2 linked regions of the Arabidopsis thaliana genome follow. The protein of the gene in region 2 interacts with the protein of the main gene of each other region in a biochemical or structural test. Each region holds a gene or a part of one and is shown on either strand. Other genes may lie near its edges.

What was found.
Region 1: the proteins of alpha-ADR (region 2) and AT2G43160 form a complex in vitro, tested with the Arabidopsis thaliana proteins (one study listed by BioGRID).

Annotation. Positions count from the first base shown.
Region 1 is NC_003071.7:17,943,586-17,950,752, forward strand, and holds the start of AT2G43160 (ENTH/VHS family protein), read left to right. Parts: upstream 1-4,214; 5' UTR 4,215-4,685; intron 4,686-4,767; exon of another isoform or gene 4,768-5,085; intron 5,086-5,212; exon of another isoform or gene 5,213-5,241; 5' UTR 5,242-5,298; coding exon 5,299-5,333; intron 5,334-5,436; coding exon 5,437-5,488; intron 5,489-5,727; coding exon 5,728-5,807; intron 5,808-5,896; coding exon 5,897-5,975; intron 5,976-6,074; coding exon 6,075-6,158; intron 6,159-6,276; coding exon 6,277-6,422; intron 6,423-6,689; coding exon 6,690-6,992; intron 6,993-7,167. Other genes in the region: AT2G43150 (Proline-rich extensin-like family protein), read left to right, coding at 2,308-2,946. UniProt on the Arabidopsis thaliana protein: May have a role in transport via clathrin-coated vesicles from the trans-Golgi network to endosomes. Stimulates clathrin assembly. Binds to membranes enriched in phosphatidylinositol 3-phosphate (PtdIns(3)P). Plays an important role in protein trafficking.
Region 2 is NC_003076.8:7,585,061-7,592,227, forward strand, and holds the start of alpha-ADR (alpha-adaptin), read right to left. Parts: upstream 3,263-7,167; 5' UTR 2,967-3,262; coding exon 2,841-2,966; intron 2,099-2,840; coding exon 1,967-2,098; intron 1,616-1,966; coding exon 1,490-1,615; intron 1,277-1,489; coding exon 1,214-1,276; intron 1,132-1,213; coding exon 1,034-1,131; intron 954-1,033; coding exon 746-953; intron 548-745; coding exon 476-547; intron 396-475; coding exon 303-395; intron 1-302. Other genes in the region: AT5G22785 (uncharacterized protein), read left to right, coding at 4,583-4,645, 4,656-4,784; AT5G22780 (Adaptor protein complex AP-2, alpha subunit), read right to left, coding at 5,040-5,196, 5,283-5,362, 5,478-5,549, 5,636-5,716, 5,936-6,061, 6,149-6,235, 6,340-6,504, 6,608-6,688 and 1 more. UniProt on the Arabidopsis thaliana protein: Subunit of the adaptor protein complex 2 (AP-2). Adaptor protein complexes function in protein transport via transport vesicles in different membrane traffic pathways.

The DNA.
Region 1 (7,167 bases), on a different chromosome or scaffold from region 2:
AAAATGATAATATTATTTTGGTTTAGGTTAAATTAGGGGAATCCTTGGTGTATCACAATTTATTTGTTGGAAAAGTGTTTATTCGCACATGTGCTTTCTTGCTAATTCTTTTCAAGTTCTAGCCACCCTTTAACTTTAATAATTGATATTGCTAAATTCTAAAAATATCATAACAATGCAGACACTTTAAAAATTAAAGGAAACTAATTTGTGAAATTTCTTTTTCTTTTCACGTGTTTACAAAAATCTCATCCCAAATATTGATCAAATATGCAACTTGTATAAAACAAGAATTATTTGAACTAACTATATGAGCTCAAACTAATTGACCAGTCTATATATGACCTCTTTTCTTGTTTTAAAAATTCCAGCATGTATATGATTTTTGTAAGGAGAAGTATATGATTATTGATGGGCACTCAAAATCTGAGGAAGTTTGAGATACACAAGTGGTGGGAGCGAAAATAAACTGAAGTACAATTTTTCTGCACCTTCTTTGGGAAACATAGATAATTATACTTGTTTTTTATTTTGAAATAGTTATACTTTTTGACGACATAAATTATTCTTTGCATGATTTAAAATTTCAACCTACATTTATGCTTGCAATTTCGTAATTACTTCCGCCTTTATTGCTCATCTTTAATTCTGCCTTTTCTTGTCCTTATAGACATAAACATTTGTGTGTTTGTGTGTGACAGCAGTATTTCCCTATCTGAAAAACAAGAATATTTTGATTTATTAGTAGTTTGAATTATGAATTGCAATTAAGTTATGATTAGGTAGTGATAATTATTTCTCATGGGGTAGTCCTTTTCTTCAAATCTCTTGTGGCGATGGTTCGTGTATTAAATCGTCATGTGCCATAATACCATTAACCTAGCTGTAATAATTTAATGTACCGTTAAAAAGGTTACAGTTGCTCTGTCTATATGTTATTACTCTTAGCCCCGTATTAGCTCTCAAAGCGTACGACCACGCAAAAGCCTGCAATGCCACTAATTAAGTTTCATTCCACATGCCATATATCTTCTTTTGTCACGATTATATTTCCCATAATTGAGATTTCACATGCACTCTATAGTTTTATGTCGTCATGATATACATACATTGGGAAATTATACGACCAATACGAGTAAACGAAATAAAAAATGAATGGTCAATTATATGACACAATTCAAATTCTAAACGGAACTAAATTTTAGCCTCTATGGTTATGTATACTATTATTACAGTCGATAAGTGTGAAGCGAGTCGACGCGGTATATCATACACCGATCGAGCCACAACACGCGACCTCTCATTATATTAAAATCACATTTTTATGCCACAAATCAAAGTCGTTGTTGTTAATTTGGTTTAATTGAACTTTGTATTATAACTCGGTTTAGTCTTCAAATACAGCTGTCTTCCTATTGATCGCTTTGTTATCTTATGTCAGCCATTTTAAGACATTTGACTTTACTCTCATAATCATCCTTTTCTGTACATTTATTTGATTCTTACGGTTCTAATTACCTTTCTATATATATGATATGTTTTTGTCAAAAGCATCAAGTGTTTTTGTAGTTTATATTTGTAGTTTCTAAGTTTATGACTTTGGAAAAATTAGGAACGTTCTGGCACCACATTGTAATATGCATGATCGGAAATTTTGTGGTCCTCTTGCCATAATTTTCGCGCACCAACAAGTGTTTTTATAGATTTCGTGTAATCGTTTATTTTTGAAATATTTTATAGCTTTCTGTTGACTGTATATTTGTGATTTATACGCAATTCTTTAACATATACAGAAACAGAATGTCGGTAAATAAAAAAGAAATTATATAATCGAAAATGATTGTGGTAGATGTCATCGTGATTAACATAGCTTAACTAGCATCGAATAGCAGCATGTAATTTAAAAATGTTTCATTGAAATATATGTGTGATTTTCAATCAGAATTAGTTTGGCTTTATTTCAATCTGGTGGTTGGAGATTAGTTTTCTCACACAGTGGAAATTTCCTGATCTATTATCTTGTTTATTATAAAACTAAGAAAACCAATAATTGCCAGCTAATAGCAAAATTAAAAAAAAACTATAGGAAAAAAATAACGAAGATATAGAATTAGTCCCTAAAGAACAAAGCCCACCTCCAACGACTACTTTTTTCACTATAAAAACAACTCTTTTCCATGCAGAAACACAATCAATCACTTCTTCTTCATCTTTCCTCAAAAATAAAAACATTTTCTCCAATTTGTTCTTCTTTAATAATTTGGAGAAAAAAAGTCTTAGCTAAGACTGAACATTATCCGGTGAAGAATGGCGACTCCGGCATGGAGTCATGCCAAGGCTCAATGGGTAGTCGCCATGTTGGCGTTACTCGTTGGCTCGGCTATGGCTACCGAACCTTATTACTATAGCTCTCCTCCACCACCGTATGAGTATAAATCTCCACCTCCTCCGGTTAAATCTCCTCCACCGCCTTATGAATATAAATCACCACCACCTCCGGTTAAGTCTCCTCCACCACCGTATTACTATCATTCACCGCCGCCGCCAGTGAAATCCCCTCCCCCTCCTTATGTTTACAGCTCTCCTCCTCCTCCGGTGAAGTCCCCTCCTCCCCCATACTACTACCATTCACCGCCTCCTCCGGTGAAGTCTCCTCCTCCTCCATACTACTACCATTCACCACCTCCTCCGGTGAAATCCCCACCACCACCATATTACTACCATTCACCACCTCCTCCGGTGAAATCCCCACCACCACCATACTACTACCATTCACCTCCTCCTCCTGTGAAATCTCCTCCTCCTCCATATTATTACCACTCCCCACCTCCTCCGGTGAAATCCCCACCACCACCATACCTTTACAGCTCTCCACCACCACCGGTAAAATCTCCCCCACCTCCTGTCTACATCTACGCTTCTCCCCCACCTCCCACACATTACTAGGCTCATCAAATTCAACAAAATTTCCCCATTATTCAAGTAAGTCCTATACTTATACCTTTACCTCATAATCCGTTTTAATAATTGTGCCCTAAATAAAATCGGAATTTCTTCTTTCACAGGTTTTCTTTTAAAAAATGAAATAAAGGAAGGGTCAAAGTCAAAGAGAAGAAGAAGTGAACCAAATAAGGATCGTGGCGTGGAAATCAGAAACAAAACATCTCTAACAACGATCCACATCACTTCCTCTTCTTCAATGTCGCTCATCTTCCACTTGTGCATCATTATCTTTGCGTCTTCGTCAAGTCAAATTGTTTCCAAGACCCTTTTAGATCGTATCATACTCCTCTTTGTTCCCTTTTGTTGTTAAGTGAAAAAATGGGTTTTGGTAATTTAATTGTTGTGCATACATTTTCTATTTTGTTATTCTTCCGTTAATGTAATGAAAGAGTTGTTAGCATATAAAACAAAGTTCAGTTTCTTCTTTCTTTGGATTATGCGATATACAGTCATAACATTTTCTATCTTAAAACATAGTTCCAACGACAAAAGTAGTTCCAATGACAAAGTTAAAAGACATATTCTTTTAGGTTGGGCACGACATTGTTTCGATCTGTTCGTCCAGAGAAAGTTATCATTGCTTCAAAAGGTGGGAAAGTGGAAGTAACACATCACTTTGATCTCATTGGATCATTAATAATTGTGTTTATGTAATACGTCAGAGACTCACTTTCATTCAACTAATTTCCACCTACTCTTTTTGTTTCAACCTTAAAAAAAAAAAATATTGAGCAATACTATATGCTTAATACAAAACCATTGACTAAAATTAAAGAATGTTGAAATGAATTAATATCAAAGTTATAGTTTATATTCTTCTATTTAATCGAAACATGGAACCAAACAAAAGCAAATGAAAAGCAGCAAGTGCTGAAGAATTGGTTCGAAATAAGTGGAGTGGTTGTACTTTGGGCTTTGGGATAGCATTAGCTGATTTTGAGGCCCATTGGCTAAACGTATTTGGTAATTTGCCTCCAATTTTTTTGTCACCGTCATTTTGTTTGTTGTTTGGCAACGACACCTTCCAAACTTTATCGTTATGCTTAAGTTGATTTTGATAAATTAATTTGATAATGATGAAGTGAAATTCAATGAAGCTAATAAACACAATTTTGATAAATTAATTTGATTTCAACAGTACTGAAATATATAGTATTAGGTCTAGTAGCTTCCAACTCCACTAGACATAAAGCAATTTTGTCCCAACAAAAGTTTTGGAATAAAGCATATTGTATCTTCTCATTTCCAAACTGTATATGAGAATAGAAACTTTATAAAACTGGTTAGACCAAAGTAATAATTATGTTGTTCTCAATTAAACAGCTGTGATTTTTCAAATCCAAACATTATATTGATTTGGAGCGCCTTAATAATATTCTCCGTGTTTAGTTGCGCTGTCTTATTTGTATTATTCTTTTTTTTTTTCACTATTTCATTTTTATTTATTTATTTTATCTGTTGAATTTTCTCTTCTGGCTGCTGTTTTCCTCTCTCTCTCTCTCTAAACTCGAGAATTTTTGTAGAGAGAGGAGGCAAAGTGCGAAAGCTAAACGCAGATCCACGATCAATCTCCTCCACCTTCAAAAGCCTTCAAAAGTGTTTCTTCTTCGTCTTCTTCCTTTTATTATCTGTGCCTTGACAGATCCACGATCCGATTCTGGTCAAATTTTACATTTCTGCAGGTACGATCTTAGCTCTTTTTGTTCTTTCATGTTCATTATTCTTTTTCTGGATCTATTGTTTCCATTTTTAAATTTCCGGTTGATTTTTTTATCTTGTTCGATGTGATTCTATTTTGTGGAGGGATGTTATTAGCTTTAAGATCTGTGTGAGCTGCGTTTTTGAATGTGAATCTTCCTTTTTATTCGATTTTGATTGTTACCGTTTGAATTTTTAGTCTGCTTAGGAGTCGGATTTTGTTGATTTTGACTTCTTCTTTATATCCTTTAATTGTTGCAAAATTCGGAAATTTTGTTACGAGCTGGGGATTTTTTCCACTTCCTTGAGATTGTTTTAGGGTGAATCTGAACAAAGACAAATTCGATCATTGCTGATTGCTTTGTTGCCGTTCCTCAATTCCATGTATCTGGCTCTTACGATTGTGTAATTGAAATGAGATTATGATGAAGAATGATTCGTTTGTTTCTTTTTGTTCTATCTATACATTTGTGGTGATATATATATATATCTTTGTTTGAAACGTTAATAGATAAGCTGCTCATACTAGTTATACAACAGACTCCATAGAAGGTGACATTTGTTTAAGATACTCTTGTTCCTGGAACACATACGAAGATGAAGAAAGTCTTCGGACAAACTGTTAGAGACCTGTAAGTATTTTCGTACCCGAAATTTAATGATATTCTCAATCTGTGTGTGGTTTATTTCTTTTTTCATTGACGGGATGCTTCATTTTATGTTCCATTTATTCAGTAAGAGAGAGGTCAACAAGAAAGTGCTCAAAGTTCCTGGAGTAGAACAGAAGGTAATGGATGCTCTTAGCTTCTTCTCTCTTTTTCTTCTTATCAGAAATTCTTCCGCAGCAGAGATTTAGATACTGTTTTCCATTTTTATGCTTGAGTTTATCAATTTCTTTATTTGTTTCTAAAAGGCTTTTATAAATAGAGAGCTTATCTTGGTTGCATTCATCGTCTTGCTAAACAATGTAAAGCGAGATATCCAACTTTCTCTTATCTTGTTTTGTCTGTGCTTTCTCTTATTCAGGTTCTAGATGCTACTAGTAATGAGCCATGGGGTCCACATGGATCACTTCTTGCTGATCTTGCGCAAGCTTCCAGAAATTAGTAACTACGACCACCTTCCAACTTGCTATATTTTGCTGCGATTTTGGACATTGCACAGGAATTATAAAAACATGTTACTTCTATTTCAGTCATGAATATCAGCTGATCATGGTGGTCATATGGAAACGCCTTAGCGACACCGGAAAAAACTGGCGGCATGTCTATAAGGTAAACAATATTATTGTCTTGCTGGCTTAATTTGTGTTGAATTTCTGTAGCAGTGACTAAAGTATTTCATGCTGTTTACCTCTTCTCTCTCCCCTTCAGGCTTTGACAGTTTTGGAGTACATGGTAGGCCATGGATCAGAACGTGTTATAGACGAGATTAGAGAACGTGCATATCAAATTTCGGTAATGACTACCTTGAGTACATTATTTTGGAAGTATTCAACATCAAGAGAATCCTTTAGTGCTATATCTCAGTAGTTGACTATCTTACTTGTATATATGTCTATTTTCCTTGTGGCAGACATTGTCCGATTTTCAGTATATTGATTCCGGTGGTAGAGATCAAGGAAGCAATGTTAGGAAGAAATCACAGAGCCTGGTGGCTTTGGTGAATGACAAGGAAAGAATAGCTGAAGTCAGACAGAAGGCTGCTGCTAATAGAGATAAGTAAGTTTGCTTGTCATTGTATCTTTCTGGAACTGGTGGATAGTTTTCTCTCTGTGTGAGTCTCGGTGGACACTCGTTTGATTTCTTGTTGCTAGTGGCTTACAATTGTTATTATGCTTCTCGGTAGTCTATTAATTGGTAGTACTGGCACTTTAACTGTATTAGCTTCTGAATTTTGAAAGTTTTTATCTCGAGAAAAAAAAATGACATGTCTTTTGGTTCATTCAAAATATGCTGAACATATCAACCTACATTATTTTACAACAGGTATCGCAGCTCAGCACCAGGTGGGATGTATAAGCCTTCAGGCGGATATGGGGATAAATATGATTACGGAAGCCGGGATGAAGAGCGAAGTAGTTATGGAAGAGAAAGAGAATATGGTTACAGAGATGATGATAGAAATAGTCGTGATGGAGATCGTCATTCCAGGGACTCTGAAGACCGGTATGGGAGAGATGGTAATAGGGATGATGATTACAGGGGAAGGAGCAGAAGTGTTGATAACTATGGGTCACGAGGTAGGAGTTCGGAAAGAGAGCGGGAGGATGATGGCCATTCTTCATCACGGTATGTTAAATTTCAAGTCGCCTAAATCCTGAAATAAAAAAGGAAGGGGAAAATTTTGAAGATTATCAACTCCATTTGGATAGAATATTTTTATTTTGAATACTAGCGTAGATGTCCTTGATTTTAAAAATCATTTCGAACCGCAATCTTCTTAGTCTAGTTCCATTTTCAAATT
Region 2 (7,167 bases):
ACCTCTTAGAAATAGTGGCGAAACCTTCAAGCAGAGCATCTAAATTTATTTTACTTTCACACAAGAAAAACAACAGACAAAGAATATCGTACAATTAGCTGCAAGCAATTCAAACACTTGAAGTTTCTCTAGCAAAGCCAAAAAATATATTTTAAACGTCCATGCACACATCAGTAGTCTGCTTTGAGTAAATGCGTCTTTACAGGACGTTGAGCAGGGGTGAAGGGGAAGAGAGAGAAAAATAGGTGCCCACTAGTAAAATTCATGGTATCAACATTTCCCCAGCTATCCGACGAACTTACCAGGGATAGAGCTTCAAACAGCACAGCATGAGACGCATTGTTTTTATTCACATTTTTCACAACATCTGTCCCCATCAATATTCGCTGAAGGACCTGAAATTTCCATGAAATGCCATGCCATGAGAGGAAATTCAAAGACATATATTACAGATTTACACATGAAAATATTGAACCTCAAACAGAGCTTTTCTGGTACTGGGATCTTCAATGGTCGGGAAATATTGAAGAGCCCTCATTGCCTTAACCTGTACTAACCAAAGATATATAAGTATCCACGATATCTTTAACTGAGTAACAAAAATACACCAAAGCTGGGCCAAGCCTCTATTTTCATAAGCTAATTTCACATAAAATGTTTAAAATGCACAGGATTTGTGAAAAGGATGCGATTAAAGAATATTTAAGCTATTAAACAAGAGTGAATAAGCCGAGTTAAGTCAAACCTGGAGCCAAGGAGATGGGATGCCATAGTATGTGTACTCCTGAGGAACATCTTGGTTCCTAGCAAGGCGTTCTAATATTTTGACACATTTAGGTAGACAACTTGAGTACGCCTCATGATTATTAGATACCAGAGCTACAAGAAGACTCGTAGAAGACGTCAAGACACCAAGATCTCGTTCATCCAAAAGTTGTGCCATACGATCCGCCCTGGAAGTATACGACAAAGAGAATATGAAAGATGCACTAGTAAAATCAAAGAACCAGTAACCCCACAGTGTTATACACACCAGCCATCCACGTTGACAGCATCAGGATTTTTTCGGAATAAGCGCAGTAGGCACAGTGCTGCTTTTTTCCTTACAAGAGGTCTGCAACTACTAGAAATCTGCAGCAAAGAGACCCCATAACATAATATGTTTAGTAATATTGGAAAAAAATATAACCTCTCATCTTTAGGAGTCACTTACAAGTAGCTTTTGAACATCAGGTGCCAATGATTCAGCAAAATCCCTTCCACCGATATTTCCAACCTACAGGAGAACGTAAGCATGGCAAGGTAAGAAAGCTAGAAAGAAAGGACCAGTTTCATGAAGTAAGTGGCTCTGAATCGTGAAATGATAGAGCACAAAAGACATAATGTACCAAAGACTTCCATTAAAACAGTCATTTAACAACATCTTATAATCAGAAGAACCTAACTATGCTCTAAAATCTCAATACAGGGTGGACAAAAGACCACATACCAAGGTCAGTGCTAGGCACTGGAAAGTCTCATTCCGACCAATAATATCGTTCCGCACTGTATTTATTGCCAACTTCAAAAAGTCATGGTTCTCATTGAGCAAGCAAGATGTAACAATGTAGCCAACCTGTAATCATGGATGAAAAGTTCAATACCTGCAAATTAGTTAAGGAGCATGAAACAATATAAATTGGAAATACAAACCCTTGAGATACAATGCATGGTTCTGGTTAAGAGTTTCTAAGATGTTACTAAGTAACTCGTGCTTATAAGTAATTGTCTGCAATACTTTCCCAGGTCAAGTCAAGTTGCAAACGCATGAAATGGTATCTAGATCTAACTGTGTGATCTTCAATGAAACTTTCTTTGTTTCAGCTTGATCAATAGAATATATTTCAGCAAACACCTCCATCTATTATCTTCTCCTAGCCTTACAAAGAAAAATTTCTTTGTTTGAGCAAACAAAACGTTGGTTTACCTGCTTTTCTGGATACTTTGGCGCAGATATAAGAGAAACCGCCTCCATATGGCCAAAATCCACATCGTAGCCTAGCATATGTATATAAAGCATTTTCCAGACATATTTCTTCTTTTTATATGGTGTCAAAACCTGCAAAAATAAAACAGAATGTCAAGTAATCAAAGAGTTCTTGATTAATTCATTTCTAACATGAACCCCGAAAAAGAATAAGTTTAATGTTGGTCCAACTGGAAACACATGGATCCACTACAGGCCTGCTACAGCTCTGCTACGTGTAAGATGGAACAAGAATTTCACTCCAGAAGTTCTTACAGCAACAAAGCTTAATCTACTTCGTAATGAGCTATTCAAAATTTTCCGTGACCATGATTTAATTTCTTAGACCATCACTACATAACCGAATTTACTGCCAGACCATTCTTTTCTTCTAGTTCCTAAATGTCATCATATATTCAGTAATGAAATTCCAAGTTGAAAGCAATAGTAGTGATGTTTCAAAAGGTAGAATAATTGCTAATCTACAAGGATTTGAGCTAGCTATACAACGGCAACATTATACTGCCTATCTATTTTCACAATTGGTGTTAAATCAAAATTTATTGCCTCAATCCGATAAAGTAAGAAACTACAAGCTCCAAAACTATCCACTCGGCATGTGACCAGTGACTGTATCTTTGTTTCATCTACATTCTTATCTAACTCCCTAATCAACCTAATAGCTCTAACATTCGATTGCATTGGCATTGCAACTGCGAAGGATAAATCTCCAATATCTCTAATAAACCAAAACCTCAGCGGATACTCGACACTGAATTACCTCTCTAATGAGAATCAAAACATAGAAAATAGAATGGAGAGAATTGAGAGTAACCTTCTCATTCTTGAAGCATGTACGAATGTTTCCGAGCTCCTTATCAACTCGTAGTCTCTCCGCTTCCTTGTTCTGGCAATTACGAACGTCGCTGATAAATACGGAGAGACCTCTCATTCCGGTCATGGTTGAACCAAATCCTCAAATCCACCGTGCTCCGCCGCCTCACACGGCGCAGATCCAAACTCGCGGCACCGGATCTAACTACGAGATAAACCACAGACTAAAGCTGAAGCATAAGCAATTCGAGAGAGGTGAGATCGAAATCCCAATCTAGAAACGGAAAATGGCACCTTCAATCGAAGAAATTCAAAAGGAGAGACTGATCTTTGGAGAAGAGAGACACGCCTGCGGGAGAGAGACGAGAGACGACTTTTATTTTTCTTTATTTACAACTTTGACTATTCAATTTTGTGTAATTCAGTTTTTGTCTGTTTTGAAATTGGAATCCGAAATTGACCCGTCGAAAAACAGAATTAACGCGTCTAGACATTTGGACTAAATTTGAGGATTTATAAGTTTGCGTAATATTTTGTTAAAAAGTGTATCCTTCTGCCTTTTTGGGTAATATTTATTTACTGCTGTTTCTGGTTTCACTTTTTCATTTATTTTTAAAATGACTGTTTTCTGTCGCGGTCAATGCATTCAGTTGTAATTCAATGTACCATGAGAAAATCCTTAACAAAAAAAATGTACCATGAGAAAATCCGGTTATGAATTCGGGTCAGGTCAGGTCATGCAATGGTTTAGCTGGTCCCAACTTTTTTTTTTTTTTTTTCGTCAGACATGGTATTTGTTGGTATTAGTGGGAACGAAACAAATGGTTTATACGCAGTGCTGATTTGATTATTTTTTGTTATGAGCATTTTATAATTTTACTCAATGTATTATGAAATCTTTTGAATAAAGATTTTAGATACTCTATATTTCAGATAACAATTTTGCTAGAATCATTGCAACCAAATTACTCTGGTGAATAGGAAAGTATTGTCACTACTCTCGTTTTTGAAATACTAAATGTGTCTCATAACAAGATCATAATCTACAAGACGATGAATAGGACGAATTGTTGAGCTAGAAAAGCAGTGACGGCGATAGCGTATGCTCCTAGGATGTTGTTGTTTGGCAGTTTGAGTATCGAACTCGTAAACTTATATAACTAATGGAAGCACCAACCATTAAACTACAAGGCTTTTATATGATTGTGATGATAAAGCATCAGCTTGCTGGGCTTTAGATTTGGGTCGGCCCTGCTTATTGAACATTTTTAGTTTTATGGAAGATATTGTCCCTTTGCGTTAGCAACATCGGCTGATTTCTTAGGTATTTCGAACAGCTCCAATATCTCGGTTGAGTTTTTCTTCAAGGCATGACAAATTTTAGGGTATTCGATACTTTAAGAGAAGTTGCTTCTTCAACTTGAGCGACATTGATGTTGGTGAAGCAAACTTGCAAAAGTCAGACTTACTCAAATTTTGCTTAATCACTCTTGTTTCACAAGCCCCGGATCTAGGGTTCTTATATTTTTTTTTATTTGCAAAATTACAAATGATATAGTAATATAAAAAAATCATACTTTTGTCAATTACAAATTATGTAGTAAAAACAAAAAAAAATCATGCAAAAATTGATAAAACAGCTTTTAAATCCATAAGCAGTTTGTAAGAAAATTAAAAATAGTAAAAAAAAAATTTTCTTTCAATTATATTCTTCAAAGTAATAGTAAAAATCTGGTTGTATATATGTCGGTTGAATGTCCCACCAAGGCCAAGTCCCCACTCTATTCACACCTCAAATTAGATCAGGTTTTTACAGGTGAAATGCTATGCGTTGGATGTGTTTTTGCAATTTCCCCCCTTTATGACAACATTAAAATCTCTCAATGTGAAGGCTGGTGCGAAAAAACAGACCTCCCATCAGAAAACTCATGGAGAAACAGATTGAAAATATATAGGCACAAGAACAAGCTGATACAACCACTGACCTCACAATACAAATGTTCAGAATGAATGCAAAATTTCTTACCTAACGCAACCCGCCCGCTTTGGATAAACGGCACAAATATAATCAAAACTAGCTTTTTTCTCTCCCTTGGCTCTACATTTACTCTCCCATCATTCCATATTTTCGCCATTACATTCTACAATAACAGAAAACAAACTTTTCGACATGTGCAAGTAATCTTTTATCCCAATGAATTTAAAGTAAGCCAGCAAGCATAGCTCCTGGATCATCAGCTAAAGCCGCTGGGCTAGGCGGTTGAACTGCTGGTGATGGTGCTGGACCTGCTGCTGGAACTAGAGCTCGAGATCCCATTGGAATAGTAATTAATTGTTCCTTGATGAATTCTTTTAACCTGTAGATAAAAGGGGTCAACAATTGCAAATGAAGAAAATCTGTGATCGAGGTTGGGTTTGTGATTAAGAGGCAGATATATCATACTCAAATGTAAGGGTAGGATCTCCCGAGCCTACTGTCAATCGTAGTTGGGTTCTGTCCGCTGGGTCTGTTTCAATTCTTGCCTGAAAATCGCAAACCAAGGAAAATGTCACACGTCATTACTATAAGTCTTAAGAAATTTTAGAAATTGGAGTGGCAAGTGCCAAAACCAGGAAGTGAAACTTGGTGAAATCTCACCAAACAGAGCATGGCTCCTGTAGTTTCAGAGTAGAAGGTTGTGCTTGCCACTAGATTATTAGGGTTTGGATCCTACGACAAAAAACAATACAAGTTAAGTTTGAAGTATACATGTGTGCATGAGGAATGAAGGTTTGAGATCGTAAACAACTACTTACAAGCCCAGGGCATATCGTCACATGAAAACTGTTGAACAGATTTGCCATTTCCGGAAGAGCTAGAGGTCTTACACCTCTTACCTGAAAGAGATTGCAGTATCAGATTATATAACGCATAAAAGTAATGCTGCATTAACGAGCATGTGTAGAAGTGTTGGAAGTTCTCTATAAGTGTTGTAGCGAAAGCTAATTCACTAATTTCATTGAAAAGAAAATTCTTAGAAGCCTTTGACTACTATCCTGCGCTACTCAAATACTTTTAGTTTGATATTTGATCAGAGAAGCTGTGGAGATACATACCACTTCCTGAAGTTTCAAGGGTGGCCCTGAGATTGCTCTCCATTGAGGGAAGAACTCTTCAGATGTCAATTGTAGAGGTTGAAGAAACTTATTCAAGGTTGCCGGGATGCGTAATTTGGCACTGACCTATAAAAGATCCAGCATATCAGGTAGAGTCACAGATACTAAATATACCATTCACCAAAACAAGCTAAGTACTGTTGCAGTACGTACCACGTTTGTACCAAACTTGTAGGAGAAATCCAAAACTGCAACATCCCTACTAGGGCGGATGTTCATCACTTCAAGCGGAGATTGTACCTATAACCATGAAAAAAATTGCAACACTTAGTACATTATGCATAAATGAGTAGAAAATGACGGATTGAGTAGTCAAACTTAAATAAATCAACAAACAAAAGTACCTGTGCTCGAGGAGGAATTGTATCAGGTACTGGAGACAGATCCAGTCTTAAGTGGGCAGGGGGTAGTATCAGAGCTTGAACTGATGTAAGTGGAGAAGTATTCTTGTTTCCCATGAAGAGAACAAGTCTCCCATGGTGTCCTCTCCATTCAGCTTTGATGCCAATCTGAGGAATACAAACAATCAACAAAATGGGAACATAAGAAAGCTCGGAGGCTTGTCTGCTGCATACTTGAATAAATAAAAGCAGAAACTAGAAAAAAACAAACCTGGATATGAGGATCCTCGTATAAGACACCACTGTCTTTCAAACATAAAGCATGAAATCTCTCAGCAATATTTCCGATAAGCTGTATAAGAAAACAAAACAGTATAAGAAAAAAATACAAGCATGCAAATATATTATGGAGTACAAAAATGGCTCGGTTTCTTTTATTATGGATCTTGAATTGTGAAACAGAACATCTCAGGTAGCATTCCACCTAAGTAAACGTTACATACCATTTCCAAGTAATAAATACAAAAAGACGAAACAGAAAAAAATATGGCTATAGTTAAAAAAAAAACTAGGGAAATAATGAGCTAGCAAAAGTAGAAGTATAATGCTAACACCTACTATGCCAAAGAAAGCAAAGGAATAAGAAAAGATTACCTCCACTGTATTTGTTTGCTCTTCAACAGGTACAATGGCGGAACCATCAATTTCATCTGGAACTCCTTCTGCCCCTACGGGACCATGTTGTTCATATGAGACAGCTCCAGGTGGAGCCTCTATTGCAAGAGGACCGAGTAGGTCACTAAGGAGATCAGGTGATGGAGTTTGTGGATC